Linked DNA regions of Callithrix jacchus. The protein of the gene in region 1 purifies or fractionates together with the protein of each later gene. This does not show direct contact. Links are inferred from orthologs where the notes say so. Each region holds a gene or a part of one and is shown in the gene's direction. Other genes may lie near its edges.

Evidence for each region.
Region 2: the proteins of VSX1 (region 1) and USP12 purify together in Homo sapiens (affinity purification with mass spectrometry; 3 studies listed by BioGRID and IntAct, counting the BioPlex papers as one, with this or other methods). This does not show direct contact. The link is inferred for Callithrix jacchus from reciprocal best matches to the Homo sapiens genes VSX1 and USP12.
Region 3: the proteins of VSX1 (region 1) and WDR20 purify together in Homo sapiens (affinity purification with mass spectrometry; 3 studies listed by BioGRID and IntAct, with this or other methods). This does not show direct contact. The link is inferred for Callithrix jacchus from reciprocal best matches to the Homo sapiens genes VSX1 and WDR20.

The regions. Positions count from the first base shown.
Region 1 is NC_133506.1:31,797,269-31,805,439, reverse strand, and holds the start of VSX1 (visual system homeobox 1), read left to right. Parts: upstream 1-2,705; 5' UTR 2,706-2,747; coding exon 2,748-3,168; intron 3,169-5,297; coding exon 5,298-5,376; intron 5,377-5,864; coding exon 5,865-5,988; intron 5,989-7,148; coding exon 7,149-7,329; intron 7,330-8,171. UniProt on the Homo sapiens protein: Binds to the 37-bp core of the locus control region (LCR) of the red/green visual pigment gene cluster. May regulate the activity of the LCR and the cone opsin genes at earlier stages of development. Dispensable in early retinal development.
Region 2 is NC_133506.1:146,238,877-146,246,287, reverse strand, and holds part of USP12 (ubiquitin carboxyl-terminal hydrolase 12), read left to right. Parts: intron 1-5,485; coding exon 5,486-5,683; intron 5,684-7,411. UniProt on the Homo sapiens protein: Deubiquitinating enzyme that plays various roles in the regulation of the immune response and inflammation.
Region 3 is NC_133509.1:137,063,586-137,071,688, forward strand, and holds the start of WDR20 (WD repeat-containing protein 20), read left to right. Parts: upstream 1-4,072; 5' UTR 4,073-4,099; coding exon 4,100-4,348; intron 4,349-8,103. UniProt on the Homo sapiens protein: Regulator of deubiquitinating complexes. Activates deubiquitinating activity of complexes containing USP12. Anchors at the base of the ubiquitin-contacting loop of USP12 and remotely modulates the catalytic center of the enzyme.

The DNA.
Region 1 (8,171 bases):
GGGGCGGGGGCTGCCCCTCTGGCCATAGATTTACGGGTGATATCTGAGAGGGGGTGGGAGGGGGAAGCTAGAAGGAGCCCATTCTCCCCGCCGCCAGGGCGCGGAGGCGTCCCTTAAACGCGGCGGGTAGATTTGGCAACTGCGAGGGCGCCACAGGGACAGGTGGAGTGTGGGTTGATCAGGAGCCAGCCCTTTGTCTCTTGCAGACCTCTCCTAAACTGCAAGAAGCGCTTCTCTCTCTGGTCCTAGCCCACGCTGAGCGGATTCCCGCAACGTAGGACGCGCAAGTGGATCTCAAGAGCCCCGGCAGCCGCGGGGGGTGGAGGCGGGGACGCAGATCAAGCGCTGCGTCGGATTGGGGCATTTCTCTTCGCGGGAGGGCGAAATGAAAGCGTCCTTCTGCGCTGCGCTCCCGCCACCGCCACGCTGAGAAACACAATGTGACCCAGGACCCAACTCGTCCACTGCTGGGATCTTGCAGGCCCCTCCCTGGCATTGGGGTCCCGAGATGCGTTAGGAACGTCTCAGTCCAGGAATTTCAAGACTCCTTAGAAATTCTCCTCTTCTCCATCTCCGAGTTCCCTTAGAGCCCCAACACCGGCTCCTTTGATCGGGTCTCTTGCTGGGTTTCGCTCTCCCCACCTCTTTCTCTGTGTCGGACGTGACTGGGTTAATAAGTCTCTGTTGCTCTCACCTGCAAAATGAGTTTAAGACGATCCTTCCCGAGGGTTTGAGAATGGGGATGTTCTTGGCACTGCGCCGAGCTCACCGTGGTGGTCGAGGCTGGGTTCCTGCCGCCTGGCCTTTTGGTGTCTTTGGATCACTGGCTCTCTACTCGGGGTCTGTCACTCCAGTGATCGCGAACCTTCCAGGCAGACCTAGGGGGAGGGAGACCCGAAGCCCTGGCCCAGGTGAGGCCACTCGGTCGCGACCCTGCGCTGCAGGTGCGGCACCCGAGTCCGCCCGTGACTCAGGCTTTCCACTCGCGGGCGACCCCGGTCGGGCCACCTTAGAATCTACTGCCCTGCCTGCCTGACCTGTCGCGAGCTGCAAACTGTGTGGAATCGTAGGTATCTCCCTTAACTGCGACCCCAAATTCGGATTTGCAAACGACCACGCAGCCGCACGAAGAGCCAGAGCAATTCTTTCGGACCCAGTATGCCCAACGCCTTCTTTAAACCCAGAGATAAATCTGGGGGCATATTGGTCGGGGAGCCGAAAACAATTCTGGCATCTAAAGCGTCTCCCGCTTCCCGCCCCCGAGCTGGAGCAATTCAAAGACAATTATCGCAAAGGAAAGTTATTGTTTTGCTAATCCCGGGAACAGCTTGCAAGGAAAGATTTGGGTCTTCCTTTAGTAATGGAAAGTTAATGCGTAGCCTCCTGTAATTATCCTTATCGGAAGCCCTTTGTTTAATCTGCACGTTTAGCTGAGGCCCCACCGAATGCGCAGAGAGCGGGAGACCCACTTTTCAGGGCCGGGACTCGGGCTCCAGCCCGGCAGGAGCGCAGGCAGTCGCGCCGGGTTCCTCTGGGGCTCAGGCATTCGTTCCTCGGTCGCTGAGGGACCTCGGACTGTAGGGCCCTCAGAGAGTGGGATTTAAGAGATAGGCTTCCGGGGCTCTGGGATTGGGAAAGGTGGACTCAGGCATCTCAGCGATGAGGGTTGGTTGGTTCAAAGCGCGAACCAGGAGTGGCTAACCCATGCGCTCTGTGGTCAACTTTAACGAATACGAATATTTCAGATTATTCAAAGAATCAGGGTTTCTTTGAATAATCGGGAAACCGCACAATATTGTAAGCCTCGATGAAAAGTGCTTTCCAGTAGACAGACACTATTTTATTCCAATTTACCTCCCTCTACTCCTTCCCAATTTTGGGTTGCTGAATAAATACTGATACTTACTCCTACGGAAAAAAAAAAAAAATGGCCCTCCTTGTTTATCCGAAATTCACATTTCACTGAACCTAATATGTTTTGTTCGTTAAACCTGGTACCCTGCCCGTCTCAGCCCAGGGCAGTTCACTCCTGCCTCTGCTTCTCTCCCTTTCCCCAGCTTGTGTGAGTCAGCGACCCCCTACAGCTCAGCCCGTGGAGTGCTGGGGACGAGCCTGGGGATAGATTTGGATGGAGGAAGAATGACCGAAGATTAAATATACGATTTTCATTCCTTTCCCTTTGGGGATTTTCGGAGAAGACCGTCTTGCGGGAAGGCCTTCGTGGCACCGGCGGCAGAAGTGGAGGGCTGGTTGGGGACTTACTGGTAGTAGCCATGGGGGTGTGGTTGAGAATGGGGTGCTAGGTCTTAATGGGCAGTTGGGTAGCATCAAAGAAGCTTCAGGGCAGCTGGGAGTGGGACCTCCACCCAGAGTTTGGAAGAAAGGAGAAGACCACGGCAGGATGTAGAACTTGAGGCTTTTCCAGGGACAGGGAGACAGCGGAGTCACTGCCCCTTCCCTTTTCTCCTTTCCTCCTTCCTAGAATGGGGGGTGGGGTGGGCTGGAGAGAAGAGAGGAGAAGGAGGTGACTGAGAGGACTGCAGCTGGGAGGGCGGTAACCGAGGGGAGGAGAACTGGTGGCGTCCCCAACTCGCGGGGTCCGGAACGGCGACGCGCCCGCGCCCAGCTGATTGGAGCCCTTCAGGCCTCCCGCGCCCGACCGGCAGCCCAATCGTATAAAGCTTCCTCTAAGCTGGGCCCTCGGCAAACGGGGTCCAGAGAGTTTCGCGCCTTTTGGCTAAGGAACCATGACTGGCCGGGACGCGCTTTCCGACGGCCGCACCAGGAGCAGGGCGCTGGTGCCTGGCGGTTCTCCCCGGGGCTCGCGACCCCGGGGCTTCGCCATCACGGACCTGCTGGGCTTGGAGGCCGACCTGCCGGCGCCCGCCGGCCCGGAACAGGGATCTGGCTGCGAGGGTCCGGCGGCCGCACCGTGCCCTGGCCCAGGGCTCGACAGCTCCAGCCTGGCGCGTGGGGGCCTCCCGCTGGGGCTCGGCCTCCTCTGTGGCTTCGGCGCGCAGCCTCCCGCGGCCGCTCGAGCGCCCTGCCTGCTCCTAACTGACGTGCCGTTCCTGCCGCCCAGGGGCCCCGAGCCCGTTGCCCCGCAGGCCCCCAGTCGGCCGCCTGCGCTCGGCCGCCAGAAGCGCAGCGAGAGCGTCTCGACATCCGGTAATCAGGCCCGCGATTCCCGCTCCTGCCCCGGTCCCCTAGGCTCCGAGCCGCGCAGGGTCACACACCATCGCCCCACTACACCCCCGGCCCCAGCGGCCCAGATCTAAGGGCAGCGGGGAGCCCAGAGCGAGGCCCGGTCGGGGGAGGAGCATTCGCGGAGCTGCGCCCCCGGCCCCTTGCAGCATCCTAAATTCCTGCCTCTCATCCGGGATCCTGTTTCCTCGGCAATGCCGGACCGCCACCACCTGGTGCCAGGTGGAACCCTTTGATGAGACCCTTGGCACCAAGGGTCTTGGGGTTGATGGTCTTGGCACCCCAACAACCATCTCCAGAAGGCCTTTTTTACCCTCAGCGCCAGGCGCCAGTCTCAGCCTCTGGCAGCGGCGTGGGTCGGGAAGGCCTGGGGCCTGTGTTGTTCACCAGCAGCACCGAACCTGGTACCAGGTGGAAACGCGGGCGGAACGGATCGAATGATTGGCGGCTCCTTGAAGAGCACCGGGCCTCGAGCCCAGGAACTGTCCGTCCCTCAGGGTGCTGAAAAGAGGGTCTCGGTTACCTTGCTCCTCTGCCGGCACCGCGGGCAGGAGAAAGAAGCAACCTCGGGGATTCATTAAGCCTAGAGTTATGTAGTTAGCCTAGAGATGTGTTCTCCGCCTACCCATCTCCTCAAAGAAATCCAGGCGGGTGGCGGGGAAAGAAAAAGAAGCAATGAAATTCTGTAAAGGACAAGGGCTAAGAAACCGAGTGGGTTGGGGTGTGGGAGAGAAAAGAAAGAATTACGAAAGAAAGAGTGGACTAGCGAAGGTACGTGGTAGAACCTAGAGCTGAGCATCCAGGCAGCCAAGGAAAAAAGAGTACACTGGGTCTCCTGTTATTAGAAGGAAGCATATCAGATCAACAGGCAGGCTCCACTCTAAAAGGACTTAATTTCATGAGCCTCTACTTAAGACAAAATGAAACTTCCTATCAGTGTCACTAAAAATGCAAAAACTGTCTTCATGGGATGAGTTCATTCTTCTATGAGCACTGACAAAATGAAAGGCAGCTAAATTCTATTCTGCAGGCATTTCTGAAGATCTGGAGCAGAGCTGTCCAAGTGAAATGTGATGTGATGACATGTTTGATGGAAGTTTCTCCCAGCCACATTAAAAGTGAAATGAATCTAAATACTGCATTTTAACCCAACAATATTCATAACTGTTATCATTTTACACATAATCAACACAAAAATTTTACTTTTTAGGAGCACTAAGTCTTCTAACTCCATTGACTGATTTATGTCTACAGCAGGTCTCAGGTTGGACAGCCCAATACAGAATGTTTTAATCCAAGTCAGGTTTCTGGTGGACTAATTGATGTAGGGTGTAATTGATGTAATAAAACTATTATTATTTAGTTATTTTTGCCTTTACTCATTTAAAAAATATTTTGAGGAAATAATGCTTTCTTGCAATGAATCTCACAATAGTTTGGTCCTCTAACTTTCTTTTCCATCTAGACTTTTTGATATAATGAGTATAAAAAGGTAAAACAGAGCAGAGCGGTTCTCAAATTTTCAGGGGCAACTACAAATCATCTGAGCACACTTGTCAAGAAGGCGCCTCCTAGACCCCACCTCCAGAGAATCTGATTTGGTGCATCAGGGCAGGGATGCAGTTCTGACAAGCGTTCTGATGTCACAAGCCCTGGACTTCCTTTGGGAAATGTTGGTTTAGAGGTTAAGGTGATAAAACTATGTTTGGAAGCAGTGTGGGGACAGAAAGTCTAATCAGTGGCCGAGTAGCTCTGGCTTCAGATGATCTGGGATTTGAATCCCAACTTCACCATTTACTACCTGTGTGCTCTTGGGCAAATTACTTAACCATTCTGTGCCTCAGTCTTCTCATCTGTAAAAATAGAATGGTAATAATAGCAGCCGCTTTTGTGTTTTAGTGTTTTATTAAGAACACTTGAGATAATACATGGGCAAGGTTAAGCGCAGAGCCCGGGATCTAGTAGGTGCCAAAAATGCTCCTATTATTCACTACTCAAATACCCGAGAGGTTCATAACTTCACTCCTTACACTGAAATCTAGGAAATAAAAGGGAGAATATGATCACCTTTAAACTCCTTTTTGTGCCAGCAGATGAGGACAGCCCATGTGAAGACAGGAATGACCTAAAGGCGTCCCCCACCCTGAGCAAGAGGAAGAAGCGGAGGCACAGGTACAGGGCCAGGCAGTCCTCTCTGCCTGCTTTTCCTTGGGACACAGCCCAAGTTTTCTGGCACCTGCACCTGAGAATTTATGGCCCTGCATGATGGCAGGCCCAATGGCCTCCTGGTTGGCAGTGGGAAGAGCACAGAAGCCATTTGGGAAGACAATTTTGCAGTCCCAGGAGGCTGGGAAAATGCTACAGTCTTGGTAGTATTTTTTTCGGTAGCATTTTAAAGACACAATTTTGTGGGTCTGTTAGATAGATTTTGCCAGAATGAATGGATGGAATTCATTAAGAAAGAGCTAAAGGACTGTTTTTGTTTGAATCAAACTTCTGGACTACATCAGCTAATCATTCAGAGATGGGGTGTCCTGTTATCATGAGGTGGCTTCTGAGGTGTTGACAGTGGGGGAGGCAGGCACGGTGGTCCTTAAGGCCAGGGAGGCTGCTTTCCCCAGGGCACTCGTGCCGACGTGTGTGTTTTGGGGTCCCTGCAGGACAGTTTTCACTGCTCACCAGCTGGAAGAGCTGGAGAAGGCGTTCAGCGAGGCCCACTACCCTGATGTGTATGCCCGAGAAATGCTGGCTGTGAAAACCGAGCTCCCTGAAGACCGGATACAGGTGTCGGGGTCCCTTTTCTCCTTTTTGAAGACACATAGAGAACGTGTCATTCCCACGCTCAGTCAGCCAATCAGTGGTCCCTCTCTACAGCTTCCTTTGCACAGAAACTGAGGGTCCCTTAGCTGAAAGCACCACAAGAGCATGTCCCTGTGACCCTCATGCCCTTTTTCCTTTTATTATTATTAATATCAAATTATTCTTTAAAATCACGCAATAATGTGTGTTGCAACTAGAAACTATATAAAGATATGCCAATGGGGTGGGGGGGTGGAGACTACCTCTCCATGTTAAACCCTGAAAGAAATCAACATAAATGCCTGAGGAGACCTTTCTGCACTTTGTGGAGCACATTACCTGCCACTGCACATGTACGCGCATACACATATCTACGCGCATACACATATCTACATGCATACACATATCTACGCGCATACACATATCTACATGCATACACATATCTACGCGCATACACGTATCTACATGCATATACATATCTACGCGCATACACATATCTACGCGCATACACATATCTACATGCATACACATATCTACGCGCATACACATATCTACATGCATACACATATCTACGCGCATACACATATCTACGTGCATACACACACGCTCACATGCATAGGTGGAAGTTTGCTTTTGTCTTTGCCAGAAGATATGTCACTCCTTTTTAACAGCTACACCATATTTCATAATAGTCTTTCACTAACATAATGTTTTTCATGAGAAATATCACCAAGCAATCCAATAGCCTAAGCTTGGAAGGAGCGATTGCCCCAGTGAACGCTTCCCAATCAATGAGAAAAAGAAACCCTGTAATTGACCTCTTCACACAATGTGGGAAAAGGGAGTTTGATTCTTTAGTTTATACATCCCTGACTCTATGGAAACTTCAGTGGACGTGGTCACTCGTGTCCGTAGCGCGCTGAATGCCCGTGAGTCCGGAGTGCACGTGGGCGCCGCTGGGGGCTCCTGGGTGCGCTCCCCGGGGGCGGCTGGTTGGCTCTCAGGAGCTATTTCCTTCAGAAATAACATGGGATCGTGCTGGAGCGAGGAGCTCTGAGCCCAGGGACGCCGCCTGCGCTCCTCCAGGCGCCCCTCTTCACTGTCTCTTCTGTGTGCCCTCTGCTTTCCCTCCTGCCTCCAACCAGGTCTGGTTTCAAAACCGCAGGGCCAAATGGCGCAAGCGGGAGAAGCGCTGGGGCGGCAGCAGCGTGATGGCCGAGTACGGGCTGTACGGGGCCATGGTGCGCCACTGCATCCCGCTGCCCGACTCCGTGCTCAACTCCGCCGAGGGCGGCCTGCTCGGCTCCTGCGCGCCCTGGCTCTTGGGTAAGAAAGGGCCCCCCGGGAGCCTGTGGTTCCGGGTGTTGGGGGAGGTAGGGGGATCCCCGGGGGTTCCCACCGAGGCAGCCGTTTCCAAAGCAAGGCAACGTCAATTTACTGAGATTCAGGCCCAGAACCTTACTTTTTATTTTTATTTAATAACAAAGCTTGCAGCAACTGGACGGTTGCCTCATTTTTCACAGAGACTGTCTAGGCTCTGTGAAAAAGTATGCTAAATATGTATTTGGGATTTAAGGGTAAAATGACATCATTGCATTATGTGAAATATGTTTCCCAAGTCTTGAATGCTGTTAGAATTTTTAGACCATATAATTTAGGGCGCTTAGTAATAGGACAGGGCAGTGCCGAGCAGCGACCCCGGGAGACAGTGAGCCCCTCCATCTGAGTCAGGAGGGCTGGCTGCGGGCTTGGTTCTGCCATGAACAACCTGCTGTGTGGCTTTTATGTCCCTTAGCTGTTTGGTGCTTAAACAGTCTTGCTGCTGAGGTCCAAACTTCGGGGTTGGGCACTCTCAGGCGGCTCCACCCTTGTTGCTCTGTTTGCTGTTGCCAGAAACTAACAGGCAGGGATGACAGATTGTGGGAATGAGTCACAGATAAGTACCTCCGCCAGGATTAGTTAGGAGGATCATGGTGGTGTTTTAGGTTTGGATGGAGGAAGGTTTTTGCTCAGCGAACAGTTTTTGAATAGCTACCAAGCAGCCCTATCCTGGGCACTGGAGATCCCAATCATAAACATGTTTTGACTTTGCTCTCAAGGATTGAAACACTAGAGAGGGCATTGTGGGCAGCGACCCAAGCCAGCTCATCTGAAATTGCACAAGCAGG
Region 2 (7,411 bases), about 110 Mb from region 1:
GCTGTGAACATTGTTGAAATGACAACAAAGTATTTAGAATATTACATAACCGTAGTTGATAGCAGTGTCAGGGTTTTAGAGGAGTGACTGAATTTTGAAAGAAGTTCTACTGTGGATAAAATGCTATCATACAGAATCACATGCTACAGAGAAATCTGTGAAAGGAAAAGCCAGTCAATGTGGCAGACGTTTTTTTCTTATTTTAAGAAATTGCCTTAGCCACCTCAACCTTCAGCAACCACCACCCTGATCAGTCAGCAGCCATCAGCCTTGAAGCAAGACCCACCAACAGGAAGTTTATGATTCACCAAAGGCTCAGATGAACATTAAGTTTTCAGCAATAAACTTTTTAAATTCAGATATGGATATTTTTTCATACATAATGCTATTATATAATAGACTACAATATAGTATAAATCTAACTTTATATGCACTGGGAAACCAAAAATATGTGTGGCTTACTTTATTGTGGTCTTCCCTTTATTGTGGTGGTCTGGAACTGGACTTGCTGTGTCTCCAAGGTATGCTTGTATTTCTGTCACTACTCTGTGGGATCCAGTATTAGTGACAGTGGACTGGGGGCTGAGCTTCTTGCCTTCTCATCTTTCCTCTCTCAGTTCTCTTAACTCTCCCTTTAATCCATATGTGCCTGACTCTACTTCTAGGACCAGTCCTGTCCTTACCAGGTATTGAAGAAGACCCATTCATGGCCAGGTGACTCTGTATTACATTGTCATGGCCACAGTCCATCTCTGAGTGTCTGCCCTAGGTTTAATGACTGAGTTGCTTCCTGTTTCTGAGATGAAGGCCCTACCTTTTATTTAATCTTCCCAACTAGATTCATATCTTATTCCCCTGTAGCCAGTCCCAGTCATGGTTACTTGTGTAGTATCATGTCAAAATCATATTGGCAATAGGGATTTGCTGTAGTCAACATCTCCAGCTGCTTCTTGCATGCATACCCTCGTGCAAGTCTTCTGGAATCTGAGTTGGGTGGGTCCTTCCATCTGTTGAGAAGTTGGTGCCACCTGGCTCCCTGCCTGCCTGCCTGCCTGCATGCCTGCGTGGATCTCCAGATGTCTGTCACTCAATACTGTATTCTATACACATGTTAGGGTACGCCATGGGCCTCATTTGTGCCTGTGACCCATCCCTCATTTTAACACATGCTGGGGATAGGTTCTGCCACCTAAATGTCCTCTCATTGCTTATATCTTACTGAGTTACCTTAGTGTCTTTCTCACGTAAAGCATTCTATTTCCCCTGACCCCCTCGTTGTAATGTGCCACAATTAATCCTTGTTAATGGTACACTTTAAAAGAGCATGGAATTCAGACCTTAGAACTGTGCGTCTTTATAATTATTAAGCTTTTCTGTGTGGTCAGGACTTCTCTGCTGACAGGATGTTGGCAAGTTCATAAGTGCCTGTGGCTGGATATTACATTCATCTGCGGTAGAGCTTGCAAATAGTGTCTTCTGGATCAAATTCCATCTGTAGAACTCTCTGTTTGGCTCACACAGTTTATAAAAATGGGAAATTTACTTTAAAAATTGTTTCTGACTATTGAGAAAAACAATTCAGAGATGAGACTCCACTGGATTTCAGGGTCTGCATTCCATCCAGTAATCGTGTTGCTTGCCTGCGGCAGGGTAATTGCTATTCTGGTTGGGGGTGGTTGCAGGCGATGTTGGTCCTTTGTCCAGCTTCTTCCTAGTCCTTTGGATTGTTTTCTAATACTTAGCACCTGCTGGCTTTGGGAAGGACTCCCCCGTGGGCTACTGGAGAAGGGAGTTTCTGGCAATTTGGTTCAAATTCCCAGTCTTTGACCAGCCACTGACAGGTGCTGAAGAGCATATGAAAGCGCAGCTACCTTGTGGTCAAGATATATCTGAGGTGAAATTTAGCTTCTGGAGTTTCTCTGTGACACTGGGCTGAAGCCACCCTTTCTGAGATTTTGCTTGAGATTGAATCCTTACCTGTTTTCCTTCCCTTCCCTGCTACCCCTCCCCCTCCTCCCCCTTCCACACACACACACACACACACACCCGTCCATCCACCCACTACATTAATAAATCACAGGCCTGGGACTGGGACTTTTTATCTCAGAGTTTGCTCTTAGGGTCTTTTGTGATGTTCTGTTTGTCCTATGGGTTATTTAGAAATATGTTGCTTAGTTTCCATATCTGGGGGGATTTTCTAGATTTTTTTTTTTTTTTTATCAGAGGACGTACTCCAATTTCATCTTTTTAAATTTATTGAGACTTCTTTTATTGTTCAATACATTAGTGAATGTTTTGATTGAACTTGAGAAGAATGCGTATAGTGCAGTCTGGGATAGAGTATTCCATAAATGTCAATTAAATCCATAGTTAGGTTGTTCATATTTTCCTATATCCGTACTGATTTTTTTTTTTTTTTTTGCTATTAGTGAGAGAAGTCTGTAAACATTGCAATTCTGATTATACACTTATCTGTTTACTTCTATAATTCTTTCCCATTTTGGAGCACATGCTTTTAAGATTGTTATGTCCTCTTAGTGAATTGACCTTCGTTATTATGAAGTATTCTTTATCTCTGGTAATATTCTTTATCTTGTCTGCTTTGTCTGACATTAGGATAGCCTGCTTACTTAGGATTGGTGTTTACATGGTGTATCTTTTCCCATCCTTCTGCTTTCTTTTCTGAATAGTTTTAAATTATAATTAGACATTATCAAGAAAGGCAACCCTTATTATGTTAGAATACAGAATGGATGCAATTTGTCATTTTAAAGACGTAAAAGGAAGAAAATGCCTACAGTTGTGCCTCAGTATCAATTGATTCCAGGGTCCTCACATACAGCAAAATGCCTGGATGCTCAAGTCCCTGATATAAAATGGCATAGCATTTGCATATAACCTATGCACATCCTCCTGTGTGCTTTGATACATAATACAATGTAAATGCTATATATAGTTGTTACACTGTATTTTTTAAAATGGTATTATTTTTCTTGTCATTCTATTGATTGATTGATTGATTGATTGAATATTTTCAATTCATGGTTGGTTGAATCTGTGGATCTGGAACTCCCAGATGTGGCGGGCCAACTGAATAACAGAAATTCATCCACATTTTAAGTAGTTGTTTATGTGATCGGTAAATGTCATTAAAAAATAAATTTTAATAGAAAATTAATTTTATCCATTTACAGAATTTTAAAAATCATTGTCTATTCAGACTTTAAAAAGGAAAAATATGTTCTCTGTCCTTCTGTTTTTTTCTTCAAAATTTTGTCTTTTGTAGATAACATGTTCTAAGACAACTGTTTTTTAAAACAATGACAGTGATCAAGAGCTCCCTAACATAACCTCCCTCCCCACAAGTTTGAATAGAAGGAAAGCCAGAATCCTATAAATTCTTTGGTGTTTTGGTGGTCTTGGTGTTTCGAGCAGGAAATCAACCTTTTTTTCTTCCTTCTGCTGCAAAATCTACATAATGAGTTTCACACTCCTTACACGTATGTTCAAGCAGTTTTCTGCTTTTTCTTCTGGAACCATTTCAATATGAGGGAAATTTTGTAAGCTAGCAGCATCTTTAAAATATGGCTCCACACATATTTTTGCATGACAGTTCCATGGGCAGTTGGTTTCTTTGTGGTAGCCAGCAGTTCTCTGGGAGGATCTTTGGCCAATAGGATTCATCTTCTTCATGTGTTGTCTGATCAAACATATTGTATCTGCTATTATTGAGATATTTTCTTTTTTCTGCATTTGGACTTCCCCTCTTTAATTTCTAAAAGCACATTTTCCCTAACCATCAGGCCATGTTCATTATCTTTCTTCTTCCTAATCTTACCTGACTGCCATCTATTAATAGTACACTGACACTCATTTTATGCTGAGAAAATTCTTCTTTTGCATCTGCCATTCATTGGAAATTCGCAAAGGATACCCTGCTGTTTTGTAAAGATTTTGTTTCAGTAACTCTACGTGGGTTTAATCAAAGATTTTTATGTTTCATAGTTGAATTATTTTATGTATAATTTTATATACTTTTTAACTTGTATTTTCCATTGTCACCTAGAAACTTTCATCCGCATTGTTTTATTTAAGTTGTATAACACTCTGTTATGTTTGCATTCTAATTTATTTTAACATTACCTGTTGTTGAATAGCTGGGATTTTTCACAATGTAAAAGAACTCTACAAATAGATTATTCTCATAAGTGATGTTTTGAGGTTATATATTTTAATTTATGTTTTTAGAAATAGGATTACTGAACCAAAGGCCATAAAAGCTCTTAATTCATATTGCTGGGTTGTTTACCTTTACTTTGGCTAATGTTTCCAAAAGGCCAAGTTAGCTGAATAGTAAGTAATTTAGGAATAATAAGCTATCTACCATATCTAAGATGTGTAGAATGCAGATTTAGTGTAATGTTATAAAATGATTTTTTTTTTACTTACTAGAGGCAGTGGCTTACCATTTATCATTTCTTTAAATTGTGAGGAATATTTTGCTTCACTAAATCCATTTAAAATCCAGTTCTGCAACATTTGGCATCTATCATATGCCAGGCATGTTGCTAGATAGTGGAGAAATAAAAATGAAGGGAATGCTTTCTAAGCTGCCAAAGGTCCAGGGCCTAGAAGAAAAGAACCGTAACCACCTAAAACTTTTACCATGTAATAAGCTTGACATATATAAAGTGAACCTGAAAAGTGCTGATGGAGGATTGAAGAGAGCAGGTATTTGTGCCAGAGGGTGTGACATTTGAGCTGAGCCATTAAAAGAAGAATAGATTTTTAGGTGAAGTAGGAGTACAAAGGCACTCTCAGGGAGAAATAGCATTTAAAGGCATCATAAAGACTATTTTGAACATTAAGAACAGCCTGTGTTTCACAATTAAAATCTTAACTCCTGAGTTTCCAGGTTATTTTATTCCCTTTCTAGGCTGTACATAGCCATTGTTCTTAATATGGAATTATTTCTTATCTCTGACAAGCACATTGAATGGTCTTTAGTGCTTTTATTATTTTAGTCTCCTATTGTTAGTCTGTATCTGCATCACATAGACTGATAGAAAAAAATGGATTTCAGTCCACTCAAGTCCAAAGGAATTGTCAGTTTCAAGAAACTTGTTTTTCCTCTACCACTCTTGAGCACCCTGTGCATTCAGCCTTATTATAAGAGATGTGTGTTTGAAATATAAATATTCCTTAACCAAGGACTAATGCCATTCCATCTGTCTTGGAGCTGTATTGAGTGCTGTGTCAAATGATGTGGTGTGGTAATGATGGGTAGGGTGGGGTCGTCTTAGGGTGTTCAGAATATTGTTTTGTCCATATAAAAATAATTGGTAGAAATATGCAAAACTGGGCAGTGCTGGGCTATTAAAACCAACCCTTGGCTGTCTGTTCATTGGATATCATAAAGTTTGATAATTCAAGGACATGGTGGATATCTTTTATGAAATTTTGTTTTCATTTTTATTTTTAATAGGATGAAAGTTAAAAAACTGCCCATGATTCTAGCTCTGCACCTGAAGAGATTTAAATATATGGATCAACTTCATCGATATACAAAACTCTCTTACCGGGTAGTTTTTCCTTTAGAACTTCGTCTATTTAACACTTCAGGTGATGCCACCAATCCAGACAGAATGTACGACCTTGTTGCTGTTGTGGTTCACTGTGGAAGGTAATTACAACTCCGGGTACATAGTAGTGGAATTTCTAGGTTGGAAGAGCAGTGTACATTCAAGATATTCATGAATGATTCAAATATAGAACTTTTAGAAATTCTATATCCTCCTCAAGACAATTTTGTTTCAAAATGGATTTTTAGCTTTACATTTTATCACTCCTTAAAGTTTTTATATGTTAAATATATTATTTTTATTTTTATCATTTGTTACTCTACAACTACTACATCTTATTTCCTAGAACTTTGAGGTCTCTTTGTTTTTCTTTTCCCTTTTTAGCATGTGTGTGTAGAGGGTTGTTAAAATAAGTCACTTCTGAGTTTAATTGCATATGTTCATATTAATGGTCATAAAGGTTTAAAATGACGTTGGAAATAATCTTCAAAGATTCATTTTCTGATTTTACCCATGTGTGTAGTTGTCATTTCCTATTAGCCAGTTTAGTGTTGTGTCTCCTTTTCATCTTCTTTTCCAACATGGTATACACATCTTTGTATAATGTACATACATATAACTGACCTTATTAAATACCTCAAAACATTTTCATATTGCAAGAGTATCACATAATCAAAACTTGTATTTGTAAACTACTGTCTTCATTGATTGCTTAGAATTTTTAAAAATAATTTTAAAACAGGCACTCATCAATGCTGGTTTTGGGAAACGTGTCCTAACAACATGCTTTAAAAAGACGTCCAGCTCTCCCATCTTCAGCCCTCCTCCCACCTCTCAGATGAGAATTTTTAAGGACAATCCGGAGGGAGCAAATGCTCTGTAGTAATCATCTTCCACCTCTATTGCCTGGGTCAATCTTGGCTCCAGTCTTTCATCGTCAGCAAGTGTCTTTCTTCTACTTCTAAATTAAGAGTGATCACATCTTAAAGGAGTGAAGTAGTGTCAGATTACTTAGAGAACTTTGGTGTGATGATTCAGATCAGGTTTTCAGAGTGAGAGAAACCTGGGTATCAGTACCATTTCTGCCAGTTGTGGGCCATGTGACATCATGCCTAGCTTCCTGAAAAAGCTTCAGTTTTCTCTTCTAGAAAGTGTCAATAGTACTAACTACCTCATTGCTTTGTTCGGATTCAAAGGGAGATGTAAATCACTTAACTGCTGCTGTTGTTTTAGTAACAAAAATATAATATTACCTTCTCGCATCCTAACTTCATAGTTACTTTCTCACACCCTAACTAGACTATTCTTAATCTCTTTAAATTTAGTGATAGTCCTACCCTACTTAATTATGCTAGAAGTTTAGAATCACTATTCACGAGATACTGAGTTGAGAATCCTAACTCAGATGGCAACAGGGTTTCCCTCCCCACTCTCCTTTTAAAAGTAATCCAATTCTTTTCCCACCCTTAAATCCTCACTCAGGTCTCTTGACCCTTTCCCTTTTTAACCTTTTCTTTGACCTCACTTCCTTCTCCCAACTTGAACTCCACAGTCAGTTATTTAAAGCATGTACTTACAAGTACTGTAAAATCCTCTTGCCAGCTGTCTGAATCCCTACTGTCAGAATTCTTGCAGAAAATTGCAGAGAGATGCTTATTGACTTTCCTCACAGCCCTGGTGGTCTGCCTTCACTGGGAACTCACTCCTGGTGGAATCTGGCACAGCAGGTCTTTGGGACTCCCGCCCCCACTCCAGGGTTTTACTCTTCCTCCTGTCTCACTCTCATTGCCTCATGCCTTCCTGCCCCTTCTCTCTGGATGTCTTCTTTG
Region 3 (8,103 bases), on another chromosome or scaffold:
AAAAAATACAAAAAATTTAACTGGGTGTGGTGGCAGGCACCTGCAATCACAGCTACTCAGGAGGCTGAGGCAGGAGAACCACTTGAACCTGGGAGATAGAGTGGCAGTGAGCTAAGATTGCACTACTGCACTGCAACCTGGACTGCAGAGCCAGACTCTCAAAATAAATAAATGAATACAAGCTAATTAGCACATGCTGATAAGACTCTAATCATATAATGAATCCGCACACAAAATTTTGAACACAATGATAGGGAGTTTAAACATTTCCTGAAGCCAGTTATGGGTCCTGAGTTGAGAATCCTTGGTTTCAGATACGGTTTTATCACTCAGGGCTTGTTGAGGATGGAATTCAAACTAGTTCTTAAATAACAAGCTATAAAGGAGAAAGGTGGGCAGTGGGGGGAAGGTCATCTCAAGTAAGGGACATAGCTAAGATAACAGCAGGTTGGGCATGGTGCCTCACACCTTGAATTTTGGGAGGCAGAGGTGAGTGGATTGCTTGAGCCCAGGAGTTTGAGATCTGCCTGGGCAACATGGCAAAATCCCATCTCTACAAAAAATACAAAAATTAGCTGGGCACAGTGATGCATGTCTATAGTCCCTTCTACTTGGGAGATTTGCTTGAACCTGGGAGGTGGAGGTTGTAGTGAGCCAAGATCAAGCCACTACACTCCAGCCTGGGTGGCAGAGCCTTGCTCTGCCTCAAAAAATAAAAAGAGATGACAGCAGAACCATTTGACTAGAATGGAGGATTTATGCACTAGGTAAGAAACAGGCTGAGAAGTGCTGGTGTATGACTTAAATTGTGTGGATATTTCAAATAATTGAAAGTTTTTGGGCAAAAGAATATGTAATGTCTAAAGCACCGTCTTTAGAAAATTATTTTGGTAGTTGTTTAGAAGGAAATGATTCACAAAATCATTATAATGATTCAAGTTTGAAATGAAAAAAGAATTAGTAAGGTTTAGAATGATGAATTTATTTAGAAATACCCAGTTTGAAGCAGAGCATGCTGGCTCACGCCTGTAATCCTAGCACTTTGGGAAACTGAGGTGGGTGGATCACCTGAGGTCAGGAGTTTGAGACCAGCCTGGCCAGTGTGATGAATGAAACCCCATCTCTACTAAAAATACAAAAATTAGCTGGGTGTGGTGGTGGGTGCCTGCAATCCCAGCTACTGGGGAGGCTGAGGCGGGAGAATCTCTTGAACATGGGAGGCAGAGAGCTGAGACTACATCACTTTACTCCAGCCTGGGCAACAGAGACTTCGTCTAAAAAAAAAAAAAAACCAACCCGGTTTGAAATTGAAAGTCAGAAATAAAGTTTAGGTCAGGCCCAGTGGAGTGTTGAGATCTCGGCTTACTGCAACATCCACCTCCCAGGTTCAAGCGATTCTCCTGCCTCAGCCTTCCGAGTAGCTGGGATTATGGCGTGTGCCAACGTGCCCAGCTAATTTTTGTATTTTTAGTAAAGACAGGGTTTCATCATGTTGGCCAGGCTGGTCTCAAACTCCTGACCTCACGATCTGCCTGCTTTGGCCTCCCAAGGTGTTGGGATTACAGGCGTAAGCCACCACACCTGGCCACTCAGGCCCAGTTATGTAGATCTGGATGTTACTTATTGGATCTTTGAGTATAGGGAGAAAGAAAAGGTATGAGAGAAAAATAATAAAAATAGAGATTATTCAAAGGCTATGCATGAGACGAATTGAATAGTCTATTACTGTGATAATAATAAAATGTTGAATTTATATAGGGTAAAATCTTGATAGAATGCTTGAATTATATAGGTATTATGGGAAATAGAATGTTGTGGTTAATTGAGGAATAATACAAATTTTTTTTTTTTAAATAGAGACGGGGTTTCTCCATGTTGGCCAGGCTGGTCTCAAACTCCTGACCTCAGGTGATCCATCCACCTCAGCCTCCCAAAGTGCTGGGATTACAGAGGCGTGAGCCACCGTGCCCGGCCCAAATTTTTTTTTTAACTTTTGCTTGCTGGTTTTTTTTCCCCAAAAAGTATAAATACGTTTTTTCCTCTTGATAACTAGGTAACACAGATAAATTGCTTTTAGATTATTCAAGCTGTCACCATCCCTCAAGTGATTACTGTCAGATACATGTTTTCAATGTAAAGTATCACAGTTATGGAGTTTGGGATATAGCCATGGCAACCACAGAACATACACTGGTGGTTTTTTTTTTTTTTTTTTTTTGGAGATGAGTCTCAGTGGAGTGCAGTGGCACAATCCCGGCTCACTGCAACCTCCGCCTTCCGGGTTCAAACGATTCTGCTGATTCTGCTGCCTCGGCCTTCCGGAGTAGCTGGGACGACAGGCGTGTGCCTCCACGCGCCTCTTCCAAGCTGAAAACACTTGAGTAGAGCTGAGACTCTCCGCTGGTCGGAAAACCCCCGGCAAACGTGCCGGTCCCCTACACCTGGCTGATTTTTTGTATTTTTAGTAGAGACGGGGTTTCACCGTGTTAGCCAGGATGGTCTCGATCTCCTGACCTCGTGATCCACCCACCTCCCAAAGTTCTGGGATTAAAGGCGTGAGCCACCGCACCTGGCCCATACCCTAGTGTTTTAAGATTTTTGATCTCTATTTGACTTTTAGGGAAAGTCAGATAACACCGAAAGAATTGTAACAAAAAAATTTAAGTATTTTTAAGGTTATATTAATTAAATAGGACTTCAGTGCTTTTTTTTTTTTTTGCCAACACTACAAAGGAGAAAGATGTTATCAAATGTATTATTACACCATTGGCACAGTTTCTATTGGTGTCTACTTGCTTTGTGGTACAGAAAATGTTTATGATTTAGACTTCTCCTACTTTGGAAATTGCTCCCGTTCGCTTCCTTTGTGACCCTCCAGATCTAATCTGAACCTTCAGGAATAGTTCAATTTCAGTGTTACAAATGTTGGTTCCCCCCCCCCCCCCACCCTGGAATCCTATCAGAATGTTTGTCACTTTAGAAACTTTCTTATTCTGGTGCAACACGCCAAGAAACCCAGGTATAAAATAGTGACTGTTTCATCTTGCGTTGGCACGCGTGCCCGTCCTTACAAATCTAGACCCCGTGCATTACATGCATACCACTATCCCTACGGATCTCCTAGTAAACAGTCTTACAGACTCCGCTTGAGGCTTCTGAAAAAGAATCAATTACCTTAAATGTTATTAAGAGCTGTTCATAAACCACTGAGCAGCAGACGTGAATCCTGCACAGACGCAGTCCGCAGTTCCCAAAGCGCTTCCCGCCCCGCCCCCCGTCTAGGAACAGCCGGTGAGGACAAACCTTCGCTAAGAAGCGGAGGCCGCCAGTGCTCACCACGCAGGAAAAGGACATCTGGCTTGAGAATACCCGTGCGCTGCCACGTTCTTCTCTCTCCCCACCCCGCCTAAAAAACACACACACAGTGAAGCGTAAATCTTGAGTCCTTCGGTACCTTCTCAGAAACGGCGGGGAGGAGGCTTCACAGGGGCTTCCGGACAGGGGATCCAGACGGTCGCGCGAGTCCTCGAGCCCTCTAGGCGGGACAGTCCCCGTCCCGAAGGGAGGGCGCAGGAGGGCTGGAGCCGTCCCAGCTCCCGGCAGGGGACCCCGCGTGCTGGCCCCGAAGCAGTGGCAGTCGGGGTGGCGCTCTTCTCTTCGGGGTCCCGGTACCCCTCAGGGCAGGGCGGGAGACAGCTGAGGAGGCGCCCTCAAGTTCGCCTCAAGCTCCGGACGCAAGGCCCGCCGCGGCTTCCCCGGTCCGGCTTTCCGTCTGCCCGGGCGGATGCGGAATGAGCAACCTGAGCCCCCAAGCGGGAGCCGGCTTCACCTGGGAAGCAGCCCAGCAGCCCGGAAGCCACGCCCAAGGGAGGAGCTTGCGGACGCCCCGCCGCGTGGAGCGCGCCAGGTGAGCACGCCTGCGCAGTCGGGCCGTAAACAAGCCCGCCCCTTCTCTTCGGCCCGCCTTCGTGGGGCTGGCCCGCGGGTGGGAGGGGCGAGAAGGAAGAGGCGGGGTGGGGGAAGAGCGAGCAGCAGGAACGGCGCCTGCGCGGTGGGCGTGATCCGGGCACTTAGGGCAGGATGAACGCTGCTTTCCAAGATGGCGACGGAGGGAGGAGGGAAGGAGATGAACGAGATTAAGACCCAATTCACTACCCGGGAAGGTCTCTACAAGCTGCTGCCGCACTCGGAGTACAGCCGGCCCAACCGGGTGCCCTTCAACTCGCAGGGATCCAACCCTGTCCGCGTCTCCTTCGTAAACCTCAACGACCAGTCTGGCAACGGCGACCGCCTCTGCTTCAATGTGGGCCGGGAGCTCTACTTCTATATCTACAAGGGGGTCCGCAAGGTACCGACCCGGGCGTCACCGGGGCCCGCCAGCGGCGTGGGCAGAGGCCGGGAGCAGGGCGGTGACAGCGGGGCCAGGGTGACCGAGATGGGTGGCCGTCGCTCTTACTTTTGAGTGGGCCGGTAACTCCACTGGGGTGCTCCTGAGGAGAGGGGATTCAGGAGTGAGGAGGGTGGTGGCGGTGGCGTTTCGAAGGAGTGGGGGCTGTGGAAAGGGACCGTGGGGCGCGGGGTTCCGCCTGGGAGTCTCCCGGAGGAGCCGGCTGCGTCCCCTCCAGCCTGGTCCGTCAGGCTCTGACATGGCCAGGGAGCGGGCCTGCGAGTCCCCGGAAGAGGTGGGGTGGCCGTCTTGTCTGCTTCGATTGTCTCGCCTCCCTGGAGGGTTGGAAGTCTTTCCCTGGGTTAGAGAACAGGGGCGCAAGACGGCTTAGCAGGATCTCCGCAAGGCGGAACCCGGGCCGGGGAGCGGAGGACCGAGACTAGGTCAGAAAGAACCTGCTCGGCACGCAGGGCTACTCCACCTGCTGCCGCACTGACACTTCCTAGGAGCTTCTTTTGGTATTAACACTTCTATTTCCGAAAACATCCGCGGGAGGACGGCTGTCACTGTCTCCTCCGAGGGGACCTTCTCAAAGATTGTTAAGAAGGGTCATCTTGTCTGTCCCTGTAGTATGAGAAGGGCTGAGTACCACAGTTGTTGCAATAATGTGTCCAGGTTCAGAGGGGTGGTGTGTGAGTGCCCAGATTAATCTTGTCCAACAAGTCAGACTGTGTCCCAAGTAGGGAGGAATATGCCTTAAAAGCTACTTTAAAGGGGCCATCCTTCTTGGCGGGTGAGGTACCAGTAATTCTGTGAAGCCTGTAAGCATCCTTTAAAAGTATCTCTTTAAAAGCAGCAATTTATTAGAGCTTTTCTTTCGTTGACTATGTAACTATGTTTTCACTGAGAATTGCTATTTTTGAGATTGTAGTCTTTGACTTGATTTCATGGAAGAGTGAGGAAATTAATGCATCCCACACCACCTCCAAATGGGACAAGGTGATAAAAGATTAATTCGTAAATGTATGTTAGCATGAAAATAAATTGTACATAGCGAAGAGTGAACATTCCCTAGAATTTAATATAGCCAGATCCAGTACAGGATTTTTGCTTGTTAAAAGAGCTGGGGAAATGACAGTGGTATCTAAATGTAGCAAGTTGTTTCTTTCAGGGTGAATCTTTTAAGTGTTTAGGGTATGCTGTTGGAAGTTATTGAAGGTAAATCGCTTGACCTTTTTTTTTTTTTTTTTTCTCTTTTGGTATTGCAAAAGCTTGAAGTTGCCTTCAGTCTACGAGCTGAAGTTTTACTCCTACTCCCAACATTGTCACTTGTTGGGTGACCTTGGATAACTTATTTAACTTATATTTTCACCTCTTTGAAAAGGGAATGTTACAGTGCATATGTTGTAATTAATAATATAATAACTCTGGCCGGGTGTGGCTCATGCCTGTAATCCCAGCACTTTGGGAGGCCAAGGCAGAGGGATCATCTGATGTCGGGAGTTCGAGACCAGCCTGACCAACGTGGAAAAACCCCATCTCTACTAAAAATACAAAATTAGCCGGGCGTGGTGGTGCATGCCTGTAATCCTAGCTGCTTGGGAGGCTGAGGCAGGAGAATCACTAGAACTCGGAAGGCAGAGGTTGCAGTGAGCTGAGATTGCACCATTGCGCTCTATCCTGGGCAACAAGAGTGAAACTCTGTCTCAAAAAATAATAATAATATAGTAACTGTAATGAACACTCAGTATATGTAAAATATAGTTAAATACTAAGAGTAACTGTCAAATAAGAAGCTGCCATCTTGACGTTGATATTCAGAGTGAAAGGATCAATTTTGTCTCTGGAAATTAAGTTAGAATTTTAAGTTTTAAAAATACAGTGTGCCTAAAAACTAAATTAACTAGCAATTATTAATGCAGGCATTACTTTAAAAAAAAGTTTTCTGGCTGGGTGCGGTGGTTCACGCCTGTAATCCCAGCACTTTGGGAGGTCAAGGCAGATGGATCATCTGAGGTCAGGAGTTCAAGACCAGCCTGGCCAACATGGTGAAACCCCGTCTCTACTGAAAATGCAAAACTTAGCCAGGCATGATGGCGTGTGCCTGTAATCCCAGCTACTCAGGAGGCTGAGGCAGGAGATACCTCTTGAACCCGGGAGGCGGAGGTTGTCGTGAGCTGAGATTGTGCCACTTCACTGCAGCCTGGGTGACAGAGCTAGACTCCATCCCACCCTCAACAAGTTTTTTTTTTTTCTTTCAAAGGTTATTACCTTAGAAGCATCCTAGTGGCAAACCTTATCTGGATCTGGTAGCCCTGGTTTACCTCATAAAGACAGGTTTCTTGCCTGGGAGTATCATTGTAATAGTGTTCTCTTTTAGTGGAACGCTATTCACGGAAGGATAGAAGTAGGCAAGGTTTTTAAAGCTATATCAAAAAATTATTTTAAATAAGATAAATCTGAAATACGTAAATTGCCCTTACCTGCACAATTCGAGTGTTTTAACGTGTTTTGGGGGGTAGGATTTCATTTTCATGTGGTAGTAGCTTGTAGATACATTTGCATTATGTTGCAGATGTTTCAACTCTTTTAATTGTAACTTAAAATCTTTTTTCCATGAATGAGTTTGCATTTATTTAGTGTTATTTCTAAGTGACTTTTTGTGACTATTTTTTGATTTAAAATATAGGAAATTTTCCTTAATTGGAAAACCAAAATTTACCTTTTAGAGTTAGTAGTTATAAGTTTATTTTTGACAGCTGGCCATTAAACATGTGTTTAATTTTGTTTTTAGAGACAGGATCTTATTCTGTTGCCTGGGCTGGAGTGTGGCAGCATGCTCATAGTTCACTATAGCCTCAAACTCCTGGGCTCAAATGATCCTCCCACTTCAGCCTCCCTAGTGCCTGGAACTCAGGCGTGCACCACCACACCTGGCTAATTTTTTAAAAAAAATTTTGTTTTTAAGAGATGGAGGTCTTGCTGTGTTGCCCAGGCTGGTCTTCCTGGCCTCAAGCAGTCTTCCCGCCTCAGCCTGCTAAAGTGCTGCTGAGATTATGTATGTGACTTACCACGCCCAGCCCACAGTTGGCTGTTTTGACTGTTTTTTTTTTTTTCCTTTGAGGCATGTACAGTTTTACAATAATTATTTGGATTATTCAGAAGATCTAATTTCAATGAATAAATTCAACTTAAGTCTGTATGTAAAATGAGTAGAAAGTAGGTCTTTTCAAGAACTTAAATCATGAATTACGTGCTGCCATTCTTGAGAGGAAGCATGGGGCCCTGGGGAAATGGAGTGGGTGAGGAAGTAGTCCAGCATTCACGCTGAGGAGTGCCATCTTGACCCTTTTAAGAAGGTTTACAGATCAGTGTCTGCAGCTACGAGGAACTCTAGAGTTTGTTATTTCACCCTACTCAGAAACCAAGGCCAGAGAGGGATGCAAACCTGTGTTAGAATTTTTCTCATAGTAAGGAAAGTGAAGCCTAACTTAGTCTAAACAACTATCTTAGAAGAGGCTGAGCTTTTTATATCATATACTCCAAGCACTTCAGAATCTACCCCAGCATTTTACCGTATATTATTTTGTTGAATGCTTGAGGTAAATTAAAACATCTTTTCACAATCGAGGAGGTTTGGAATGGGGTTTCTTGTATGAGGAGATATAGTTTTGCAAATTTATTGAACTAAAGACAGTATTAACATTGATTTAATG